Drosophila melanogaster: one gene and its partners. The protein of the gene in region 3 purifies or fractionates together with the protein of the main gene of each other region. This does not show direct contact. Each region holds a gene or a part of one and is shown on either strand. Other genes may lie near its edges. The genes, in order: Naa15-16, CG9922 and san.

Region 1 (10,467 bases), on a different chromosome or scaffold from region 3:
TTTGTGCCCATACAGGCGTACCGTCCCAAGAAATTAAATCGCGTCCAACCAGCCGGTCGTCAGGACGTCGATGCCACCAAGAATCCTAGTCGTTCGCCTGTGTTGCAGCAACCGACGAACGAGACTATAGACACAAAGGCCAGTTCTAGTCTTCCGGTACAATCAGCAGGCGAACAGGTGATTGGACTGATGCAAACGCTTGAAATTAAGGTAAGCATTGGCTACAAGTCAAAGCCTTGATTACCGAACTAATGCTTTCCTCTCGGCCGACAGCAGCCGGCTGCGTCGCAGTCCGAATCTGATGGGGTCTCAACAGGCAGTGCGAACGCGCCCACAGCAACGACATCATCCCAGGTAATGGAGGAGATAGAGATAGTTATTCTGCATAATTTACTCATTCCATTTACTCGCTTCTGTTGCAGGCGGTCAACCGAAGGAAGCATCGAGTGCCTCGCATCGGAGCCAAGTTCGACTTGGAATACATACTGCCCGACTCCCCGCATCCAACTTAAGAGCGAACAAATGGGTATTTTTAGGTTCAAATCCCACCTAGCTGAAGAAATGCAACGCTATTTGGATCTTATATCACCTTATTTCTATCTCTCCTAGTCTGTGCGAGGCACTAGAATTGCCGCACACGATAGATCATTTTTTTTTTAGAGTTGCGGATTATGTGAATACTAAAATGAGACTGACTCGTCTTTATATTTTTTCAATAAACTGGACTTTACCCATATTTTGTTGTTACTCGATAGAATGCCAAGCTGCATTGTGTAAATTAGCTTTTAAGAAGGATCTGTCCTATAAGACGTATTTTGTTTTGAATAAAGCTGTCAGTGCCACGCAATCTGTGGCTAATTTCAAATGTATTGAGCAATCTCGTTCGTGATTTGTTTACAATCTTTGAAAATCTAGTGAAGGCAGATCATTTCAATCATTTCTATCAATTTGTTTTGGCAATTAAAATTCAAATGTTTTCTTTTGAATTCAAATCGAAACTCTGCACGTGTCGCGTGAGCAAGGAGTCGCAAATTCCTAAGAAATCTCTGACCTGGCATAGTTTTTTCGCTAGTTGTCGGTCGCAGAGCCTTCAGCTAGAGAATTGCCAGATCAGGGAGGCTATCGAGCTAGCCCTGTGATTATACTGTATTCTTGAATTTGGAATTTTGAACGATTTTTTTTTTGACAGCTATCGTCAATTGCCACATGACTAAATCATTGCGAGCAGGTTATTCCCAAAACGTTGCACAGAAAAATGGCAGGTAGGGAAGAAATCTTTTCCTCAAGTGTGGTCATTATTCCATGGTTCTCTCTCGCTCAGAACAAGAACAGCAAGAAAAACAAGCAAAAAAACAGGAAAATAAACAAGAAAGAAAGCAAGAAAATAAACCAAAACCAAAACAAAAGCGCCGAGCAATAGCCCAGCCTTCACTTGAGGTCAAGCTGCAGATTGAGAAAAAGCTTTCCCAGCCAGGATGGGAGGGACAGAAGCGCTACATTACCTCGGCGGGATCAGCCACGCTGACAATCACCACTAACGCAAGGATTCCCGAGAGTTTCGTCAAAATCTGCCGACATAAGGACGCCGTTGGGGTGCAGTCGACCCCAACGCGGGCTCACTCGAGCTTTTGTCGTTTTAAAAGACTCACCTATAAGCCGCGTGTCCTCAATCTGACCGATGAACCCGAAGATTGAGAGCTCCTGCTTGGTCTGGTTTCAATAAATGATGGCGTCGTTGCGCTTACTTATTTAATCCTTAGTTCAAACTGCAATGGTTTCTATATAGGTCGTTAGTAGATATACTAAATGTAGGCGGCTCAATTGCGATGCTAAACCAGCGCAAGCTGCTCAGAAATATACTAGAATGGGCACAAGGACACACAACGCATCCAGTGGAGTCAGTCCTGCCGCTCCTACTCTGCTCAATACAATGCGGTTTAGAATTAGAAGACTTGTCGTTGTGTACGAATTAAGGTTTTGATTTGCGTATAATTAATTACGACTTCATATGTACATACAATGCATTCGTTAAAAATAATAAAAAATAAGGTGTTGTTAAGAAAGCCAGCGGGTGTTGTCAACAAAGGTTCGTTCCGTTTGATTCAGTTTTCGAAATCCCACAACAGTGGATACAACAACTTGGTTAACTACATGGTTCGCGGTGACGAACGTTCGACGTGCGAATCCCACATATCACCTCCGCACCATTTCGTACCGGATTCCTATTCCTATTCCTCATCGACTCGTCCTCGTCCGAAACCATTTTGTAGGATGCTGTGTGACGGATGACGACGGGATGTGTTCTCAGGTGGCAGACTGGTAGGTGCCACGCACAAGGGCACAGCGCCAAGCCAACTGCCGCCTCAGATCTGATCCGTACCGGTCCAATCCGATCCGATCCGATCAGATAAACTCGGCCATGCCTAGAGCGGCTTGGCGTCCTCCTCATCAGAGCACTTGGTTTGTTGTTGTTAATAGTGAATTTTATTGTGGTTGCCGTTGTTTATAGAGCTAAGCTTATTCCTGTTCATATTGTTGGTTGTTAGTTAGGTTCTTCGCTTCACTTTTCGTTATTGTTGCTTTTGTTGTGTTTGTTGGTGTGGTGGCCGCAGATCTGTTGTTGCTGTTACTAACTTCTCGGGCCCGGGTATTAGTTAGTAGTCTTGTTTGGTCCTAAGACGCTGCCGCTGCCGTGGCCAAAACAGACACCGGTTCACTAGAATCAACGTGAATCAGCTGCTGCTGCTCTTCCTCGGCGCGCAGCTTGGCGGCCTCCTTCTCCTGCAGTTGAGCCTCCAGCTCCTCGACATTGCGAAAGATGCGGGCGTACTGGAAGCGTTGGTGGCACGCCTGCTGGTAGGAAGCGGCCTCTGCCTCGCACTCGCCAAACACATCGCCGTCCCGCAACGCTGTGTAGATTTTGGTGGCCTCCTGCGGAACACAATTCAAAGAGCAAGGATCAACAGGGGGCCAGTCAGTGGGTGGAGAAATGGGTTTGGCAGTCACTTACCTCCAGCCGGAGCTTGGCCAGGTTGAAGCTAGTGACCAGCTTGATGGCGGCAGCTTTTTTACTATTGTCCAGTTCGTACAGACTGCGTGCGCCCTCGTATAAATGCAGTATGGAAGCGTTGTGTTTGGCAATAAACTCATCGTTGAGCTGCTGGGGCGTCTTGCTGCCTATCAGTTCTTTGGTGGCCTTCTCCAGCACCTGCTGCACGTGCTCATTGAACGGCTGCTCCTTGGCGGCGCTGGTCAACGATTTAACGAAGCGAATAATGCAGCTGTGGATTACGGGGTGCGAGGCGTCGACGGCGCGAGCGCGCCGGATGCACTGCAGCATAAGGAGCAGTTTGTTCTTGCGGTAGTACAACTCGAAGGCCAGCAGATGCGTCTCGATGCGCTCCTTAGCCAGCTGCTGCAGCGGTTTCAAGAATTCAATGGCCTTGTCCAGCGGATCGTCCGTGCGCTCCAGCTTCTCGGCCACCAGCTCGTCCAACTGCGGAGCATCGGGGTCGGTCTCCTGGTTTGCCTGCTGTTTCGATTTCTGGTGCTGCTCGCGCTTCACCTGCGCCTGTGCGGCCTGCGCACTCTCCAGCTCAGCTTTCTTCTTGGCCTTGCGCTGTTTGCTGCGCAGCTTCTTCAGTTCTGATGGCGGCAGGTTCTCTGTAACGAAGAAAGGCGGTCATACAGCTAACTAGAACGAGCAAGGGAGCTAGTGGGGTAATGTCCACATACCAATGTCAATCTCTTCAATGGTTGTCTCCGACTTAAGCGGCTTGTCGTACAGACGAATGTACACCTCGATGGCGCACTTGGCCGCCTTGAAATAGAATGGATGCTGGCGTAGCACGTCCTCCAATCGCAACAGGCCAACGTAGGCGCGCAGCGTCATTTTACGCATGCAATAGGTGTGGAAATCGAACTGGTCCTCGACGATTTCGGCAAAGTGGCGCTCCACCTCGTGGCACTTCTTCAACGACTCGCCCCAGCGACCCATGCGCTGATAGGCCAGGGCACACTCCGTCTGGAACCACATGCACTGCATCTCGTTCAAGTTGTCCATGGCGGAGACACCCTCGCGAGTGAACTTGGCGCAGATCTCCTCTGCCTCCTGCACCATGTTGGCGCGCAGCATGTACTTCGCGCACTTCGAATTGATGTAGCTGAGGGGAAAACATTGATGGTTACATGGTTCAGCAGGTCTATGCTAGTCCATGGGGCTCACTCACCGATCTGCCGTGTCCATGCTTTGGGCCTCCTCCAGCCAGACGTACGCCTCCACGGGATCGCCAGCATGCTTAAAGATGCGACCCTTGGTGATAAGCAGCTCAATGAGTGTTGGCGTATGGTCGATAGCCACATTGATGTACTCCAGAGCGCGGTCCGTATCGCGCATGTAGTCGTAGTGCTGCGCCAGAAACAGTGCCGTCCACACCAGCGCCGAGGCCGGCTCGACGGGAATTCCGGCGTCGGCATCTTCGCGAGAAAAGTGGCCGGAACGGGTAAGGTTCTCGAAATACTGCAGCGCCAGCTCCTCGATAACGGCCGCCCTCTCCGGTATCTGGTGCAGAGTGCGCACGTTGACAAATAGCGGCGGAATGCCCTTACGCAGACCGCGGCGCAGGTACTCGTCGGTCACGACGCGAAACTCGTCGCCGTTGGCGATGTTCAAAGGCAGGCGGCGAGGGCACAGGGCGCGCGGATACTGCTCCTGGAACACGCGATAGATCGACACCACGGCGCTTGAGTCGGTCACCTGGCGGGCGGCAATGTACTGCTCGTAGTAGAGCACATTCTCCGGATTGCGGCGGATCAGAGACTCAAAGATGGGCACTGCCTTCTCCTGCTGCTGCAGCTTGATGTACAGATCACCCATGGTCTCGCGAACGGCCAGCTTGTCGACGATCTGGCCCTGGTATTTGGTCAGGTGGTCCACGGCCTGCTGCAGACGATTCGACTCGATGAGTATCTGGTTCTGGTAGAGCAGCAGCTCCGAGTGCCGATAATCGTGCGCCTCCTGCCCACGGAGCAGAGACATGGAACAAGAAATACGAGCATTTTATTGAATTGGAATATAAAATTGAATCGGCAGGCAGCTGGATACATACAATCGACGTTTGCGACTGGCTGAACGTCTCCAGGATGCTGTTGGCCATGTCGTAGTCACCCAGCAGATGGTAGCTCATGGCGAAACCGATCCAGGAGGCGTGCTGCGAGGGACGCAGCGTGAACAGGTGGTGGCGCGTCTCCTTGTAGCCCTCGAGGTCGCGCATTTGGATCTGGAGAAGCGACAGGTCCTTCAGGATCTGCAGGTTATCCTTCTCCCACTTGAGCGCGTTGCGGTAGCACTTGATGGCCTCATCGTACTTCTTGTCGCTGCGCTGGAGCAGTCCGTAGACGTGCCAGCAAACGTGGGAGCGCAGGTCGTTTCGCAGACCCAGACGCACATACTTGTAGGCCTCCTCGCGGCGCCCCAGTCCGTTCAGAGTAAGCCCCTTCATGGCCAGCGTCTCGCCGTGCTCCATGTACTTGGGGTTGGACAGGATCTGCTTGGCCAGTTTAAGGCCATTTTTGTACTGCTTCAGTTCGTAGCATTTCTGTTTGATAAGAAAGCACAGAGAAGAAAGGTTTTAGTCAAAGTTTCTCGCATCCCGCGCAGCGCGAATTTTGAGGTTATGAGACCAGCGGGCCGACCACAAACGTCGGCGGTTGAGCAGAGCTGTGCAATCGCCCGCTGAAGCCACACATCTCGAGCAGCGGAGGCATCGCCTCCGGATTGCTTCTGCCAAAAATAGGCACTCTCCACCTGACTTCGGCTAAAAAGCACATGGATGCCGAAGCCGGCCAAAGGCACGAACAAAGGGAGGGGGCGGCACAGTTGTGGTATTAAGGGAAGGGGAAGGTATGGGACAGTAGGGTCACCTAGACCGGCTTACAAGTAGCTTGCGGAAGAGCGCGCCCTCCTTGGGCGGCAGGGGATCGCTAGAAGGCATCTCTGCAAGGCTGCGGCTGCTCCTCTCTTCGGCCTGCTGCTTCTTCTGCTTGGTCGTTCTTGTTCTTCCTCAGCTGCTGACTGGGACTGGGTTTTCGCCTGGCCGTGAATTGCACCGGACTGCGGGATCTGTGGATCAGCGAGCTGAGCTGAGTTGCGATGCCTCTTCTGCTGCTGCTCGGAAGCGGAGCTGGACTCGATTGGCAGTCTATACGGAGTAGACACACCACACACACAAGGCGAAAACGGCGAACGGCAAACTGCGGGCACGAGCAAATTTCTAAATCGACGTGAGACGACCACACACACCCACACTGGCAAGCTCGACTGTGCACATGCACGCACTGGCGCACGCACACTGGCACACGTGTTCACGCGCTTCGCGGCGAATGGTAACAGCAATTGTACGCCACTGCGAATGGGTGTGAACGCGCTCGTTTTGAATCGCGCTGCTAGGCGGTTATGTAAAGCGAGTGAATTGTTAATTAAAACTTATTCCGAGAGGTCGAAAGTCAGCCGGCTTTCCATGTTTTAACCTTATAGATTCCACACCGCATGCTTCGCCATCGTATTTTTCATTTAAATTACCCAGTTCTCGTATACGAAAATAATAGGCAATAAATTTGCAATTCACTGTATGGGCTCATCAGCTGTTGCCTATCGATAGTCCCGCGCGTTAATAACCGACACTATAGCGAACAAAGTAAAGAGGCAAAAAGAAGAAGAGCACCACCGAAAGCAACAACATGAATTCTCTGGCCAGGATCGGGGGTTTTGTGTGCCAGTCCGTGCAAATAGCCGGCTGCGGGGTAAGTTAACATCGTACTCCTAGCTAAGCGAACATAATATCCAGCCCATTGTCTTAACAGCTGCAGCAGGTGCGCACAAAGTATGCCGATTGGAAGATGATTCGCGACGTAAAGCGGCGCAAGTGCGTCAAGGAGAACGCCGTGGAGCGGCTGCGAGTCAACTCGCTGCGCAAGAACGACATCCTGCCGCCGGAGCTACGCGAGGTAGCCGACGCCGAGATCGCTGCTTTTCCTCGGGACTCATCGCTCGTCCGGGTGAGGGAACGCTGCGCGCTTACGTCACGTCCGCGCGGAGTTGTCCACAAGTACAGGCTCAGTCGAATCGTGTGGCGCCACCTCGCCGACTACAATAAGCTGTCCGGCGTCCAGCGCGCCATGTGGTAGCATCTTCTGTTAGCAATCTAGGGAAATAAACCTTGTTAGTAGTCATCCACATTCCAGAATTGTGTTATCGGCTTGGGTTCTTGCACAGCTGACCGTTTATCGGTAGCAGTGTTATCGTTTGCTGTGGGAAGAAGTAAATACAAATTTTAGGAACTATTTTGCTTCGGTGAAAATGTCTCGGATAAAGAAGAAGGCAGATGAACATGCCTCCAGCCGCCGCAGGACTCAGATCAATCTGATCGAGTTCAGTTTCTTGGATCACAAGGCGGAGCTCGTGGGCCTGCTGCAGGCCAAGAGCCGCCAGGTAGGCAGGAGTCTGGTGGAGAACGAGGCTGACTTCTGGAAGTTCGTGGGCAAGTACGAGGCTATGATGCGCTCCACGGGCCAGCCCGTGCTGCCGCCTCGACTCGCGGAGGCGGAGCTGAGCAGCATGCAGCCGTATCACCGCAGCAAGCACTTGGCATTGCGGCTGGACGCTGACGAACTGCTTCAGGAGGCGCGCGACCAAATGCAGTCCCAGTTTCGTCATATCTTGCTGGTGTACTTAGACTTCCGCCAGACGGAAAAGTTCCAGCGTATCCGAAAGCTGCGGCAGACACAACGCAATCTACCCATTGCTCGCTTCCGGAAGGACTTGCGCGAGGCACTGGACACGTCCCGCGTGGTCATCGTGGCCGGTGACACTGGCTGCGGCAAGTCCACACAGGTGCCCCAGTATCTCTATGACTTTGGCTACCGCAGCATTGGTGAGTATGCGGCTTCCCATTGAGGCTGCCTTACCAATGATCGACCTTTTGTTGCCCTAGCTTGCACCCAGCCGCGCCGTTTGGCCTGCGTCTCCCTGTGCAAGCGCGTTGCGCACGAGCTGCTGGACGACTACGGCAGTCGGGTGGCATTCCAGATCCGATTCGAGCGCAGTCGGACGAAGCTCACCAACATCCTTTTCATTACGGAGGGCTTGTTGCTGCGGCAACTAGCGGTGGCCGCCAACCTAGACCAGTACGATGCCCTGATTTTGGACGAAATCCACGAGCGCAACTTATTCGGTGACTTTCTACTGGGTGTTACCAAGTGCTTACTGAGGGCGCGGCCGCAACTGAAGCTGATACTCATGTCTGCCACCATCAACGTGGAGCTCTTCCACGGCTACTTCGGCGAGGAGGGCGCACGGCTGGTCCAGGTGCCGGGACGTTTATTTCCCATCAAACTGCGCTATCTGCCGCCTCCTGCACTGGAACTAAAGGCGGGACAGGCGACATCCAAACGCTCTCAGAGAAACCGCATCGATCCAGCTCCATTTGTCCAGGTGCTTAGCCTTATTGACCAGCAGTATCCGAGTGAGTTTAGTTATCATGTTCTTGTAGGGATCGCCTAATAATCATCTTACCTAGCCAGCGAGCGCGGTGACGTCCTTATCTTCGTTAGCGGCGTAAACGAAATCGAATCTGTTGTGGAGGCCGTTCACGAGTATGCCACCGAACAGACTCATTGGCTCGTCCTGCCGCTGCACAGTGGCCAGGCGATCGCGGACCAGAGCAAGGTGTTTGACTACGCACCCGAGGGCATGCGCAAGTGCATTGTGTCCACCAACATAGCCGAAACGTCGCTCACCGTGGACGGCGTGCGGTTCGTGGTCGACTCTGGCAAGGTCAAGGAGATGAACTTCGACGCAACCTGCAAGGGCCAGCGTCTGAAAGAGTTCTGGGTGTCCAAGTCGTCTGCGGATCAGCGCAAGGGTCGTGCTGGTCGCACGGGACCAGGTGTAAGCTAGAACCTAACCCACGGTTGCTCCATTTCTCATACATTCCCACTTTCCGAGCGCAGGTCTGTTTTCGGCTCTACACTGCGGAGCAATACAACGCCTTCGAGGCATATCCCACTCCGGAAATTTACCGCGTGCCGCTCGACACGATGCTGCTGCAGATGGTGTCCATGGGATTGCCCGACGTCCGGGCCTTTCCATTCATAGAGGCCCCGGAAACGGAGCGCATCGAGCAGACTATTCTGGCGCTAAAGCAACACGTGAGCATTTCACCGATACCCAACTGTGTAGACCCCAATTCAACCGGACTTCTAATCTCTAATTGCAGTGCGCCCTCAGCGTGGAGGAAAAGATCACACCGCTGGGCAGATCGCTGGCCAACTTGCCCGTAGAGCTGTCCATCGGCAAGATGCTGCTTATGGGCAGCGTGTTTCCCGAGGTGGAGCAGCTGCTGACCCTGGCCGCCATGCTGAGCGTGCAGAACCCGCTGACGAATCGTGCCCACACAGACCAGCGCTGCGTGCGCGAGCGGGAGTCTCTGGAGTCCGATCATGGCGACCTCTTCACCCTGGTGCGACTCTACAACGTGTGGGTGCAGCTGAAGATGCGGCGCGATGGCACTCGACAGTGGTGCCGTCGCTTGGGCATCGAGGAGCAGCGCTTCTATGAGGTGACCAAGCTGCGTCAACAGTTCCAGCGCATCCTCGAGAGCTGCGGCATGGTGGTGGCCAGCGATTCGGACTCCCAGTTGACCAGTGCCGAGCGCGCAACGCGACATGGTGAGCTGCGCCAGCTGAAAGCCATGAAGCGCCGCCAGCGATTTGAGCAACCCCGTCAGCGCAAGTTGCTCAAGCAGAGCGCTGGACGGGTAGCGGAGGACGAGGAGGAGCAGGAGGAGGCGCAGGGCGACGATATGAGGGACGTGGACTTCCGGCTGCGGTTCGATCCTCGACAGTTGGCGCTGCTGGAGCGTTCGTCGCGGCTCGACCGACACAGCGTCGTTGTGCTGCTAAAGCTGCTGCTCGGCAGCGGTTTCTATCCACAGCTGGCCATCAGCGACGAGTTCAACTACTGCAAGGGTGGTGGTCAGCAGTTCTTCCACACGCGGCTCAAGCCCTTCGTGCTGCAGCACCCAAACTCGCAATTCGCCAAGCACTTCGAGCTGCTTAAGCTGACCGAAAGCGATCTGCTGCCCAAGCCAGACTTCTACACGCCCAAGCTTCCGCTCAGCAAGCGCCACCAGTTGCTCTGTTACCAGTGAGTGCGTGCGTCTGTACGAAATTGCAGCGCCATACTAATCCCCAAAAAACTACGTACTACAACAGGTCGCTGCTGGAGACCGCCAAGCCCTATCTGATTAACTGCATCCGCCTGCCGGCTGCCCAGACGCTATTGCTCTTCAGCTTCGCCATTGACACGAACGCGGGCATCACACAGATCGCCTGCGACGGCTGGCTGGGACTGGATCTGCCCATGCCCGGCAGCGGTATGGAGCTTTTAAGACGGGCCATCGAGTTGCG
Region 2 (6,999 bases), on a different chromosome or scaffold from region 3:
TTATCTAAAGTAAACATTATTGTTTCAAGTGTAACGTTTGTGCGTATATGCCACGGAATCGGTGGCTGGTGTGTCCATCCTGTGAAGCATGACAATGGCCAAAAGGATGCTTCCTCGAGTGGCGACCACTTGCCAATTGCGATTATGGTTTATGTACACCACGATAAAGGTCGTCAATAGGTCGCCTTCGCCACACAAGCTCAGCTACCTCAAGGATAGTCCCAAGTCCCCATCCCAATCCCCGCCGGCTGAAAGTATCCTTGCAAGGAGCAACTTTTCGTACTTCGCTATCTGTTACAACTGTTGGAACTTTTGCTGACCATTGGAGCGCCTTCAATGGCTCAATTATTTGCCCCAATCCTCGTTTTTTCTTCTCCAGTTGAGTTGGTTTGATTTCGGTTTTGGTTTTGTTCTTCTATTTTTTTTTTTTTCTGCTACAAGGATAATTTCTCGTGGCGTCAGTCAAGCGCGCTCACCCATAGACATAAATATTTAAGGACACACACTGGATTTGAGCCGGGCTTTCGAGTGTTATTAGCGTAATTGAGTTTGTTAGCCAATTATGCATGCAATGAGCCAGAAACGCCAACGTTCGCCGCCTTCAAAAGTTGAACCAAACAAATTTAAAGACCGTCCTTGAATCGCACATTTGAATGGAAAATTCGTGGCAGGGCGCGTCGTCTGTGCAACAGTTCTTGAAAATTGCATTTTCTTAATTTATTTGCTATGCTAATTTATTTATTGACTGACTGGCCACGAATGCCAACAGCCCAATGTCATTTGGCCACAGACGACACGACCCGTGGCATCCTGAAAATCACGCAGACAAGTGCCATATTAAACAGCAGGTGCCACAAATTTCGACTCAAAAATGTATTGAAACAAAGGACACTTTAACTTAAATAAATATGAATTTGAAAAAATTTATATATGTATATTTGTTAGCTAGCAAATATCTTTATTACTCCATCATACAGTTTGATTTTTCAGAAAAGTTTATAATTTTGTATTTTCATTGCTAGTATTGTGAACTCGTCTGTATGTGCAGCCAATTGCATTCTGCATTCAGTTCGTGAAGGGAATGCCCCAAAATGAAGCAGGAAGCCAGCAGAAATGCTGATTTTTGATGGAGGTGTGGCAAATTGAACACATGTTCATTGCCAAATTCTTGAATTAAATTGGCAACGAGCATTTCCAAATTGATAATCAACAAAATTTACATTCGGGTGTTGGTAATTAAAACACGGAAAGACAAGAGAGCAGAAAGTTCTAAATATAACAGAAAAAAAAACAAATAAATTAAAGCTTGTACTCTTTAAAGTATCTACACATGTCATATATTTTTAAGTGTCTAAATCCCTTTAAAACATATATGTATCTGCATTTCTAGCGCCTTAAATTATTACACAATCCTGATAACTCATTTATGGCCTGTCGTCTGTGCTATCTTTGTATCTATTTTGCACACTTAAAAAGTTGGCATAAAAAGAACAGAAACCGCAACAAAAAGAAAAAAAGAAACAATAAAACCGAGTGTAAAACGCAGAAAGTAACCACCAGAAGGGAAAACAACAAATTCGAACAAAATGTTTGCCCTTCGCGAAGACAATGCAAGTTAAATTACGTCACGCAAGCGAATTTAACCCCGAAAAAATGGCAAAAAAAAAAAGAAAAGATACTGTGTGAATTTTCGGGTGCCAGCACCAACACACACACGCAAGCACTCACACACACACACACACACACACACTAACACACAGTAAAAGGAACAGGATGCCCCTGTGGATATGCAACGCTCAATTTGCCATTGCCAACCACAATGGCAACCGAAATTGGCAACTTAATTTATGTGCTGCGCTAATTAGCACCATAATTTAATTTCCAATTGGCAAACGGAAAACGGGGAGAAAAAAAATGGGGAAAGCGAGTGGTGAAAAATCGGGGAAAATGGAAAAATGGAAAATGAGAACTGGGCTAACAATGCAAATGCAAATGCAATGCCTGTTGCTGCCAATCGCATATGCTTCGTTTGAGCTGAGATTGCGCGGGTAAACAAAATGCATTTAACCCTTTTGCGTACTCTTCAAAAGAAAAAGGTAAATTAGTTGATATATTAAATAAGTATTATTATTTATTTTTCAAATACTGTTAGTCATAAAATTGTCATTGATTAGAAAATTACTTTTATTTAAGCTTAATTAAGCGAACTACAAATTGTTTATATAATGACTTTTTCACTTTCTCAACAGATATTTCCACTTTTAAAGGGTATCTGTGTGACTGAGTTAAAACCACAAAAATTCCCACATTTCACATTTCTTATTCATTTTCCGATCACTTGCGCTCCGCATGCGAAATTCCGATGAAAAATCCGGAGCTGCCGAAATAAAATCGAATTAAATGCAGTGCACATATGTCGCCACCCCGTGGATCCCCCGTTTTTTTTTTTTGGTGCAAACCAACCCCCCATCTGCGCACACGCCCCCTAACAAATGATGTTGACCGCCCATGGTCATGGATGCTAATTAATCTTGATTTTCAAACCGGGCAAAAGCACGCAAGCAGGAGGAACTGTGAGTGTCCTTTACGTCAAAGTGACAATTAAATTAATCATGATGGCAAACGATTATGTCAACAGGACACACAGGACACAGTGACACACACACACAGTGGACTAGAGGAGCGGCGGGGGAGCTGAACTAAAAAAAGGATGTCGCACATCAGAGCAGAGAAGTATGCATGTCTCTACTGCTTCAAAATCTAATTATAGCCGGAGCATCAAACTTATAATTAACATTTCGACCGCAGCACAAAAAAATTGGGAATGTGCGAAAGAAACGAGCAAAGCGCCAAAAGCAGTTACTTACGTTGCATGTGCTAGACATTTTTAATTAGTTTTGCGGTTAAAAACTTTAGCATTGACTTTAAATTTAAAGAAAGATGTGTCAATGTTTTGCTTAAAACTTGTGGGGTCAACTTTTAACTGCTCTCCTCTCCTCGCCTTTCTTGTCAAAATCAACTTCGTTTAATTTATTGTTTAACAATATGACACTATTTCTTGGCGTTTTGATGATTTTACTGTTTCTTTGGTTGGAAGTGTACAATTGTTGAAGCACACTTTTCAAACTGCGCGCCTTTTGAAACAGGGCTGTCGCTTTCGATCAAAAACAGACAGGTGGCAACGCTGACACGCAGCATAAATGCAATTAATTTAATACAGCGCTAAGTGCATATTGAAAATACACAATTTCCAAATTCGAAATTACATAAAAAACTTCAAAAACTATTACAATAAAAGCCAAGCAAACACTCATAGATTATTAGTTAAATTATGTCGATTGTGTTATCGCTAGTAGTCCATCTCTAATCGCACGAGGTGAAGAAATCGCAAAGAATTTCGGAACTTTTATTGAATTAAACATAAAAAAAAACAATTGAAAATGACGGAAGCAGCGGAAATCAACGGCAGAGAAGAAGTGGAGGATGACGAGCAGGATAAAAAGCAAAAGAAATCCGATGTGAAACGACATGACGACGGCGCCGCAGGTAAATAAATATTTCACATGCCGCAACTCATTCCACTGAAAAATTGCAAAAAAATGACTGGCATCTATGAAATATCATGTATTGTGCACCAATCCTTAATAAATATGGAGTATTAATACTAAAACTTCATCTTGCTTTTAGATTTGGAACGTGTGACGGATTATGCCGAGGAAAAGGAGATCTCTGCGGACAATATATCCAGCGTAAGTTCATATATTTATTAGCAAGGCAATATTTGTATTAACAACATCCTTTTTTTTTATAATTTACAGGCCGTGGAGCAGTTTGGCAACCAGCGTAACAAGGAGAACGAACTGCGAGTAGCCAAAGAGAAGGAGCTCCAGAAGGTCCAAGTCAAGAAGGAGGACATTGAACTGATTGTACGTATGCGAAACTACAAGGAAGTATTCCCTTTCATTGTAGAGATACAAATATAGTTCATTGCATTAGCTCCAGTTCCCTTAGATTTCCTCCTTTGGTTTCCCATAGATAACTTTCTTCCGATCTTCCTTTTGTAATGGTTTCCTTCCCCTCTGCCCTTTCAGATGAACGAGCTGCTGGTTAGCAAGGCGCATGCCGAGAAAGTGCTCCGCGAGCAGAGCGGCGATGTGGTGGCCGCCTTGGAAGCCATCATCAGCAATTGAGGTGCTCGTGGAATCCGAAGCAATCCGCCGTCTGTTTCTTTTATGTAGCGTAACAACACACTGCTTTATTTGTACATTTATAAACTCTAGCGAAGAAAACAATACAAAACAAAAAGACTTTTAAGCCCACAAATGAGTGAGAGTGCTTACATCGTCTAAACGAATTTATTTTGGAGTTATAATAACTTGCAATTTTATTCAGAATATCGCCACTGCCCATGCGTTCCGTGTCCTTAAGAAAAATGTGATGATGCGTCGTATCCGTGTATAATTTATGTTTATAATTTATGTATCCGATTGCTAAATGAAACAAACGCAAAGTCCTTCGTCTCAGCCGCCCACTTATATTCGTAAATCGTGTAAATATGACTTTTTGGCAGTTGCGTTTGCTTCGCTTTCACATATTGCCCGATTGCTTTCTATACGAAATGAAAATGCTACCAAACGTTATTGGGGAAAACCTGATGCCTCATAGCAGCTCTATACGTTTCATTCCGTTTCATTTTTTTTTTTGGGGGAGAGAGGGAAGGTATTTAAATAGACATATAAATTATGAAACAAAATAGACAATGAAATTCATTTATAACAACTAAAGCAAAATATGCAATAACTACACAACCCAGCAGTTAAGGTTTCAAATAGTGGTGGATTTGAGGAGTAGCTTTTCGTGTGATAGCATTAACTAATTTATGTGATTAAATACTTTTGCAGATTCTCGCACGATGGCGTATTGATGTTCTGCGCCTTTCTGTACAGATCCCGATCGCCAAAGGTACGCGCCTTGGCCAGCATTGAGTCGCCTGTAAATCGTTTATGTTAATATCAGTTTAGTATAGTTCCTCTGCCTAACTTACGATAATTCCTCTCTCGACTGCAGGAGTGTTTTAGATGATTCACAAAGTCCTCTTCCACGGATTCCTCTAATCGGGCCACTGATCCCTGATATTCTGAATAGAAGTTGTCCTTTACGTAGTATGGTACCTTCAGGGAGTTCGTCTCACGCTTCACCGAATATTTACTGCGGATTAGAGAAATGAATCCACATTAGTGCTAAGCTAATTTTTAATTTGGTTTGCTTACTGAGAGGGCGTCAAGCTGTACATTGGGTCCGAGATGAAGAAGGACGACATCATGGAGAGTCCAATGAGCAGCACGATGGGCAGCAAGTTTACCAAGGCCGAAGAGTTGTTACCCTTGATATGGAGATAAAAGGCAGTCGTTTATAATGTGCACAAATGATTTCGACTCGGTACACTTACTTCTCGATCCTCGCGAGCCTGCTGACGACGTCGCTGCTGCCGCATATGGACATTCTGCTGTGGGAATCCGCCGTTGAAGAACATGTTGAACAGCTCCTCGGCACTGATGTCAGCCTGGAATCCACGCGAATATCCATACTCGTTGTTGTAGTATTGCCCGTGTCCATGGTGTCCGCCACCATTGTTGCCGTGACCATTGTGCGACTCATTGATGCCATACAGATCGTAGTTCTTGCGCTTTTCGGCATCCGTAAGTACGCCAGCAGCATTGCCGAGAGCCTTGAAAGCCTCCACCGCACCAGGAGCCTTATTCTTGTCGGGATGCAATTGCAGAGCTAGCTTCTTGTAGGCCTTTTTGATCTCCGAATCAGTGGCCGTCTTGCTAACGCCCAGTACTTCGTAGTAGTCCTTACATCTAATACCAAATGCACAAATGCAATTAGTAATGTGAAAGGCTGGCTATATAGAGTGGTACCTACGTTTTGACCTTTCGCACAGCTTCCAACTGATCTTTGGTGTAATCTGGGGCACTGGAACGGGAATCCGAGTTCACACGTTTCCTCGGCCCGCTGTCCTTCTCATCGCTGGCACCCGCTGTACGGGATTTGCCATTGCTTTCGTTGCTCGGAGTGCTCTTCAACTGGGCAAGTAGCTCTACAAGATGGAAAAGAAACACGTCAGCAGGTCAAAGGTCAATATTCATTTAATGCTGTGGCATGATGTTGTTGATCTGTTGTTAAGTTTTACAAGGACTTTAAAACAAAGGTGCTGCAATAATGCTCTTGTGAAAATAATGAATGCAACGCATCTCTTGTATTGTGTAATGACTATTACTTTACTGCTTTTCATCTTTAGAATATCGTCAAGGCTGTATGTTAAAAGCTAATTCGATAAAGATCGTACCACTCTACCTGGCTTACCCACGAAAGGTGCGACATAACACAAACATAACTTGGTTGTTTCTACTGATAACAAGCCTCAAAGATAACCGCTTTTAAAAGGCAAAGGGAAGCATGCTTGCCAAACTAAATCGCATCAATTGATATGGGAATGTGAACGTAGTTGATCCAGTGGATCTACTTCCTTTGTTATCCTTACTTTTGGCATTATCCGTAGGAAAGAGCCTCTCCGCCTTGAGAAGGAACTTCTCGGCCTTTTCGATTTTGCCCGCGGCGAGCGCTTGGACCGCGAAGTCGATGCACCGCTGGGCCTCGTCCTTGTTTCCGTCCATGGCGCCTTAGTGCGTAATCACTAGTTTTAGCTAGTTAACTACGTGGTGATCAAAGTAAATAGTGAGGCTCCGCTCTCTTTATTTGTGTGCGTGAGCGTGTGACGTCTATGGGCTTACGCACCAACACACACGTACGCCTGCTGGGTTCTGGGCTCGAAAAGCCTTGTTAAACACGGCTTTTTTTAGCCTCCCACCTTGCACCTTTTTCACTGTGAATTTGCTTTTCACTACACTTTCAATTTAATTGATTTATTTCGGTCAAATTTTTCGTCAGCCGAGAAAAACAAGGGAGTTGCCACCCAGTCAAGGCAAAAAACAC
Region 3 (7,193 bases):
GGCGAACGCTTTGCGTGTGCACATATGTATAACATGCATATACATGCGGCCGTCAGTATATACTACAGACATACATACATATACATATGTATGTACATACAGCTATATATGTAAACACTTCAAATATACATATGTATATACTCAGTCCATTGGTATGCGTATACCTAATGTAGGCGATTTTTATATGAACACCGCCTAACGGAGTTTTGATGCAATCTGCAACCAATACATATTTACTTAATTCTACACCCACCTGATTGACCCCCAGGAACTATTTTGTATTTTGTGTTGACCCAGCCAATTGGCATATTTGCAACATTGATTAAACCCAAACTAAAGTTTTCTAAAGACATCCATTCAATTCGAAAGATTGTACCAGCATAAGTCGCTTTGATATCAACTGACAGTATTCATATACTTAACTGTTAAATGTTATATTACTTATGTATGCATGTATGTATGTATTTGTCAAAGGATCGTTATCAACATTTAAGCGCAAAGGTGATGTATCTAATCCCCTTACATATATGTTAAAACCAAGTTCAAAAACGTTAACAAATCACAGAATAACAAAACTTCTATGTAAAGAATGTCTTGAATAATGGCCTTTTAGTAAAATTAAGCTAACTGTTTTTTTTGACCTCCACATTTGTTTCTAAAAGCTTCAATTCTGGTAATAGGATGAGATAACAAATCGATTTCTTAATCATTTCTTACTATGCATCCTTTTGAAGTCCCATTGCTGCAGGATGAGATGCTACCATTTGCGGTATCGACGAGAAAAATTTGTCATAACATTACCGCCAAATCAAAGTACCATGAGTTCTCTATCGACTTTGTGCCGGCGATCAAAATCCTCGTCGACGGATTTGAGTGGCAATCAGTACCGAAGGAGGCGCCAGGACCAAAACTGTCAAACGCCTTTATGATGATCTGAGTGTGTTTTAATTCGGAGCTGAACTATAAAGAAGTAATTAACCAAACCGTTTTATTGCAACGTGTTAAGATACGTAGTATACGTAATAAAGATAAGCTAATTTTTTTCAATGTAATTGCAACTATTTCAATCCATGTGAGTGATGGGTCCCATTGGGCCCACAATGTCCACATCTTTGCCCGATGTCAACTGGTGATCTTTGATTTGCTGTTGTTGAAATAGCAGCTGCACCAGGATAATCACATAGTTGGCCATTCCGTTGTACACCTGCCAGGATAAGTAAAAGATCAGATCAGGCAGGTTTCCGAGCGGCTCATGGTATCACCCACCAGGTAAATGGTAGAAACACTTAGCAAGGTTGTGCTGCCCACCATTGCCGCTTGCCGATTGTGCATGCGCCAATGCTGAAAGTCCTCCGTTTTCCGGCGAGCCACATCCTGTCCGGAGAAGTATCGCGAGTATTGGCTCAACAAATGCATACAGTTGCGTTTCTAGAGAAAACCAGATAGAGATGCGAAATGCAAGTTTCTGCATACGGAAATAAGGTCACCCACCTCTCGCAGAAGTAAATACCCATAGGTGCTAGTAATGACCACTTTGTAGGTGTGTATGGCCACGTGCAGCAACATGTACACGTACTCGGGATCCCAGGGCTCTCTCTCCAGCAGCTTTTGGCAGATAACGTACACGAAGCAGGTCATGATAGTGAAATCATAAAAGATACCAGCAGCTGCGGCGAATCCAAAAACTCCGTTTAACTCCGCCAGGAGAAACGAACAGCGCTTGGACATTTCGAAAAGATAAGCAATCCTTTCGTGCACCTCTGAACTGTCATCCGCTTGGTAAAGTTGGTGAAGCAGCTGCTGCACCAGACGCAGACGAACCCTTATAAAGTCCATAATACCTATGTGCACGAAACCCAGCAATCCTACGGAACTGGTCAGCAAGGTGTAGGTGAAGGCCATCAGCAAGGTGGACGGTATGCCGCATGTGCAACGCGTCGTATCGAAGATCAGTGAGATGGAAAAGGAGAAAAAGCAAAAGCCGACAATCACAGTGCCATACCAATACTTCAAGCGAGCGCGTCGATAGTTCCACTGAACATGAGGGAACACCATCAAAACGGAACGATCGAACTCTTGCATCCTAGCCACGAGTTTCAGGTGTCTGTCCTTCTGCAAGTCCAGCGAAAGGCAGTACTCAATGTAGGTGACCGAGCAACTGAGGCACTCCCAGGTGAATATTGCCTTGACCAACGGGCTAAGGTGTCCAAACATGGCAGCGGACATCTCGGGATCCCTCAGCTTAGTCATCACGGTAGCCATAAAGCAGATAACCATAAAGGAGCGCGTGAAAAGGGCATAGCACACAGTCCACCTGTTTGAAAACGCACCTCCACGATCAGGACTTCTCACCCGGATTGTGACCAATCCCCAGTAGAGCAGGAGGCTGTACAAGTTTCCGTAACAGTAGACAAAGCCATCGTCGCGTTGCATTGCCCAAGTAATGTTAGTTTCGACTGGCCAAGCCGTATAGAGCTATTTATTCCCGCGCAGGGGTAATTATTATTGATTACACATAGATATGATCGGACTAATTGAATACATCGTTTTGGCCGCCTCTACATGTCTGTTTGTTATACATATTGAAATTCATCTTTAAACAAATGTGAACTGTCGTGCTTTACTACGTGAATTTGAGTTCGCGGTGGTGCTGGTGGCGGTGCTGTTTGAGTTGGGTGCAGTGCGGCGCAGAGTCTTTTGCAGTACATGAGCGTCCGCCGGCTCGATGCGCTTATAGTATTGCTCCTTGGTGTCAACAATCTCGAAACCAAACTTCTTATAGAACTCGATGGCTCCGTTGTTGTTGATTTGCACATGTCTAAAATTATAACCAGAATTAAAAAACATGATCTAAAGTATTTTCGAAATAAACCTATTTCCTCCTTAGCCAAAAATATATATATTATGTATTAAATGGATAGATAAATAAGCCAGATAGGCCGGAATTAAACTTTCCCACTTAAATAGTTATAGGTTACATTAAAATCGAACTACATTGCTCCCCAGGGGTGTGTCGAAAACACACGAATCTTAATGATAAGTTTTCTTACAGAAAAATGCTGTCGAAGTTTCCGTCCTTCTCGGCGAAGTTCATAATGTGCTCGAACATAACTGTGCCGATGCCCAGGCGCCGGTACGGGGAGAGGCATCCTAGGGTCATGATATACAGGCGCCGCTGGTTCTCAGTGTTGTCGATGCGACAACAGACGGCGCCCACTACAATGTCGTTGTAGTAGGCCAATTTGGCCAGTTCGCCGGCCTCCAGGACGTCCACGTAAAACTTGTCATTGTAGGAGACCGGGAAAACCACGGTGTTGAGCTTCTTTAGCTGCTTGATGTTGTGGGGCGTCACGTCGCCCAGTTCGATGCTGCTCCTGCAAGCGGGAAAGGGTAGGAACATGGGTTAGCTTTTCCGACCCAAGCGGCACTTTTAGGTTATGATTCCGGTGCATCTCCTGCAGTCACAATCCTCCAATGGTCCGGCAAAGATAGCCACTCACCTAGTCATGTTGTCTGTACGATTTCTGTTGATTTAGCAACGCGCTTTGCGCCGAAAATTGTAATAGGAAAATGTGTTTTAAGCGCCTCAGCTGTTCCTGATTGTTCGGGTTGCAGGTCGCAAGTTATCGTTATCGGTTATTGACGCCGGCCAGAATAGCTATTTTATAGCAAGATAAATTTGATTTTCATATCTAAGACTACTAACTAAACTTTTTTGCTCACACTATTTTAAGCAATAAACAAAAACTAATAATTAATTAAAACAGAACTAAAAACACTCAATGCTAAATGAAACATTACACATCGTTTTTTATTTGGGATACGCATACACTAAATGAGATGACAGCTCTTTCCGGTCGGTTGACATTAGCTATCACTTGTTTGACAGTTAGAATATGAACGAACACTTTCAATAATGGCCAACTTTTAATTTCAAAACATATTGTTACCTCTACTTTTTCGTAGTGAGTTATGCTATAGATACACTTTTATGTATGTAACAATATGAAATATTGGGTAGTCCTTGTTTCTAAACTAGTTTTTTTTAAAGAATTTTTTAAATTTACAGTACAACTTTTGTATTTTTTAGCAACTCTTAGTTATATTTATATTATATTCGATATTCGCCATGGGTACGCGAACGCAAATGTGAGAAATCTCCTAACGGGTTTTTCTTCACAAAAAGAAAACAATTCGCGGCTGTTCAATATTTTTCTCCCCCAATATCCATCGATTTCGAGTGCCAAATGAATCCCAACATGAACATGATGCCCATGTCTGGGCCACAAATGATGCAGGTAATGCAATCCTCGCCATCGGGACCCCCAGGACCAGTGCAGCATCAACAGCAGCAGCCTCCACAGCCACTGCAGCAGCAGCAGCAGGCCGAAAAATTGGACAACATTTCCAGGGTGAAGAGTTTGCTGGGACCACTGCGGGAGTCCATGTTCCTCACCATCCGGTCGAGCGCCTTCGCGCTGCAGCAAAACAATCTCGCGGACAACTTAAAGAGGGACACGGGTGCCCACCATGTTCCGCGGTTCGACAAGCACTTGGAAGACTTTTACGCCTGTTGCGACCAGATCGAGATCCACTTGAAGACGGCGATGCAGTGCCTCCAGCAGCAGAACTCCTCCAATCACTATCTCCCCGGTCCGGTGACTCCCATGCGCATGGAGACCTTTATGCCGGACAACGCCGGCCCCATTTCGTATCCCACTTACTTGAACACGGTCCGCGTTCACATACAGTCCGCCAAGGATATACACGACACTCTGATTAGTGCCGCGCAGAACATTTCGCAGGCTGATTGATAGTTGTAGTAGCATTAGGTTTTATTATTTCACACGCATGCACTTAAGTTAAGTAAATAAATATTCTTAGATATAAGATAACAATGATCTTTGTTTGGGAAAGTCGAAATGGTGTTACCATACTCAACGTTTTTACAGGCGGAAGAGTAAAAGGGAAAATAATAAAATAAATATAGCTTGTGGGCATTAGTTTGCATACAGAAAACATGTTACACAAAAACATCGAGCAATAAAATAAATTCTAGTTGTATTTCGTGTACCACTATTTGTGAAAATGTTTGCAGTGAGAACGCGTTGCAGCAGTCGATGAGTAACTGCGCATCCAGTGAGAAAAGGCTAAAAATTCGATAGACAACAGTCGGACGTGTCACAATTAGAACGCAAAAGCAAAACACAGCGGTGCCGCGCATTTATTTACAACTAGAAAAGCGGTAAGGTCTCATTTTGTTGTTAACTGTGCACAAGCCGTTAATTTATTCAACTTCTCCGACCCTCAGCTTACTAAACCAGAACAAATGGCAGATGAACAACCAAATCTTGTGGCCGGACACCCACCTGCATGTAAGTGCACTTGCATTGGTGTGTGTGTGTCGATGCAGACGAGTTTTCGATTTTTGGCAGCAATTGAATCTTATAAGAACAAACTGCCTTGTTGGCAATCAATAATGCACCCAATCAAATCAATTGCCAGAATATCTGCGCCCTTATCAGTATCTTAACCTGTTTCGGCCAAAGCTGATAAGTAAACAAATAAGCGAACACAGGCAAGCAAACGCATAGCTTTCAAGAAATGTATGTTTGTATTTGTACTTTATGCTGACGTCACGTGCAATTCAAACAATAACGTTAACTGAATAGGAAATTATTACTTTTTAAAGTAGCTTTTTACGCCTTATATTTTATCCTTAACGTTTATAAAATGCCATTGACTTAATCATCTTCGTACAATGTAAATAATAACATGTCAACTTTGGACGACTAGTATGGCTTACTTACTTTTTAATAGCCGCTTTACGTAAACACGGCTTGAATCGGCTACTGTGGCCAAGCCTCATTTGTTGCCAACCCTATATGTTTTTGTTATTTAATTATAGTGAAGGCTGGTGGCATGCGAATTGTGCAGCACAAAGCGCCGACGGCAGAACGCGCGCCCAAGGATGCAGAGGATTGTACTGGACTGACAGTGAGCTATTGACATAAGTATGTGGTTTTCAATGGAAACTAACTTATCCTCTAATCCTTTAAAGCAACCCATTGCCGTGAACTCCGGCTCTGTGAGCGGTGCCCCCGTCAAGGGCAACACGGACTTTACGCCCGCCTCCGCCCAGGTGGCCCACTCGCCCAAGCCACCGGCTGCAGTGCAGCAGAAGCCCCAGATCCACATCCAGCAGCCACGGAAGTGATGCGTACTCGGGCGGAATAACTATTATCATTATCTAATCTCTTTGATCTTTTGTTGAAATTCTATGAGTCCTCTCAATGGTATTGAAATCGCCTTTGAATGCGATATTTACTCTTTAATTTTATATATGCATTTGCCACTGCATTCCATAAATTAAAAATGCTGATTTTCTGAGTTAATATTTTGTAATAAACTTTATCCCTTTTATAGATTTCAAGACATTCGTTTCGAATGCGTATATCTTAAATTTTTACCTAAACCAACTCGTGGTGTTCCTGGTGAGCTTGGATGCGATAAAACATTGACCAAAGAAGACATATAACACTATACATGAAATTCGTGATTTCCGATGTTATCTATATTGCCCTCAGATCTACTGGAATTTGCTCTACACGTACTCTTAAAATTCCCAAGTGCTTATTCAGCACAACGTGTATATAATTAGGGAAACTCTAGCACACTAAATGCCCCACTGAACTTCGGTGGTCCGGGGTGCGGACTTCAAATCCGTAGTCGATTTGCGTCGAAGTGGTTCGATTCCACCTGGGGGGCGAATATTAATGGAGTTGCATTCTTAAACTTTTTTAAGCATGGTCTTTATTTTCCAAAATCTGTTCATATGGCATTGGCCGCCTTGACTATCCAAGGTCGCAGAATCGCCACATCGGCATAGACACCGGGGTAGTTGTCGTCCGCACACCGGTAACCCCAGGATACAATGCCCACCAGCTGGCTACTGGCCACCAAAGGACCTCCAGAGTCTCCCGTACAGGCATCTGCATCAGTGCTGGCAGCGCAAATTGTTTCCTCGCCCACAAAATCCGCACCGTAGCCAAACTTTTGCGAGGCACACTCTCCGCGATCGATGATCTGCAACTGGGCCTTCTGCAAGCTATCGGAGAGGGCTCCATTATCAGTGTGGCCCCAACCCGTGACAGTGACTGTTGTTCCACCCGATGGACTCGTACTGGCTAAAT

The links.
Region 1: the proteins of san (region 3) and Naa15-16 purify together in Drosophila melanogaster (affinity purification with mass spectrometry, with the first as the bait; 3 studies listed by BioGRID). This does not show direct contact.
Region 2: the proteins of san (region 3) and CG9922 purify together in Drosophila melanogaster (affinity purification with mass spectrometry, with the first as the bait; 2 studies listed by BioGRID). This does not show direct contact.

Annotation. Positions count from the first base shown.
Region 1 is NC_004354.4:19,476,148-19,486,614, reverse strand, and holds Naa15-16 (N(alpha)-acetyltransferase 15/16), read right to left. Parts: upstream 6,632-10,467; 5' UTR 5,994-6,631; coding exon 5,937-5,993; intron 5,598-5,936; coding exon 5,109-5,597; intron 5,018-5,108; coding exon 4,230-5,017; intron 4,164-4,229; coding exon 3,736-4,163; intron 3,664-3,735; coding exon 3,011-3,663; intron 2,932-3,010; coding exon 2,674-2,931; 3' UTR 1,972-2,673; downstream 1-1,971. Other genes in the region: pcm (pacman), read left to right, coding at 1-210, 274-354, 423-512; mRpS14 (mitochondrial ribosomal protein S14), read left to right, coding at 6,739-6,801, 6,862-7,185; CG32533 (uncharacterized protein), read left to right, coding at 7,358-7,931, 7,992-8,522, 8,577-8,947, 9,010-9,207, 9,276-10,204, 10,273-10,467.
Region 2 is NT_033777.3:14,032,371-14,039,369, reverse strand, and holds CG9922 (uncharacterized protein), read left to right. Parts: upstream 1-2,971; 5' UTR 2,972-3,440; coding exon 3,441-3,546; intron 3,547-3,687; coding exon 3,688-3,749; intron 3,750-3,818; coding exon 3,819-3,926; intron 3,927-4,091; coding exon 4,092-4,190; 3' UTR 4,191-4,352; downstream 4,353-6,999. Other genes in the region: CG3061 (uncharacterized protein), read right to left, coding at 4,878-4,990, 5,045-5,208, 5,271-5,383, 5,450-5,864, 5,929-6,103, 6,548-6,680.
Region 3 is NT_033778.4:11,357,140-11,364,332, reverse strand, and holds san (separation anxiety), read right to left. Parts: upstream 3,628-7,193; 5' UTR 3,509-3,627; coding exon 3,501-3,508; intron 3,375-3,500; coding exon 3,051-3,374; intron 2,819-3,050; coding exon 2,596-2,818; 3' UTR 2,462-2,595; downstream 1-2,461. Other genes in the region: Gr47b (gustatory receptor 47b), read right to left, coding at 1,064-1,204, 1,267-1,428, 1,492-2,433; ix (intersex), read left to right, coding at 4,248-4,814; CG12384 (uncharacterized protein), read left to right, coding at 5,330-5,375, 5,909-5,997, 6,062-6,217; iotaTry (iotaTrypsin), read right to left, coding at 6,832-7,193. UniProt on the Drosophila melanogaster protein: N-alpha-acetyltransferase that acetylates the N-terminus of proteins that retain their initiating methionine. Has a broad substrate specificity: able to acetylate the initiator methionine of most peptides.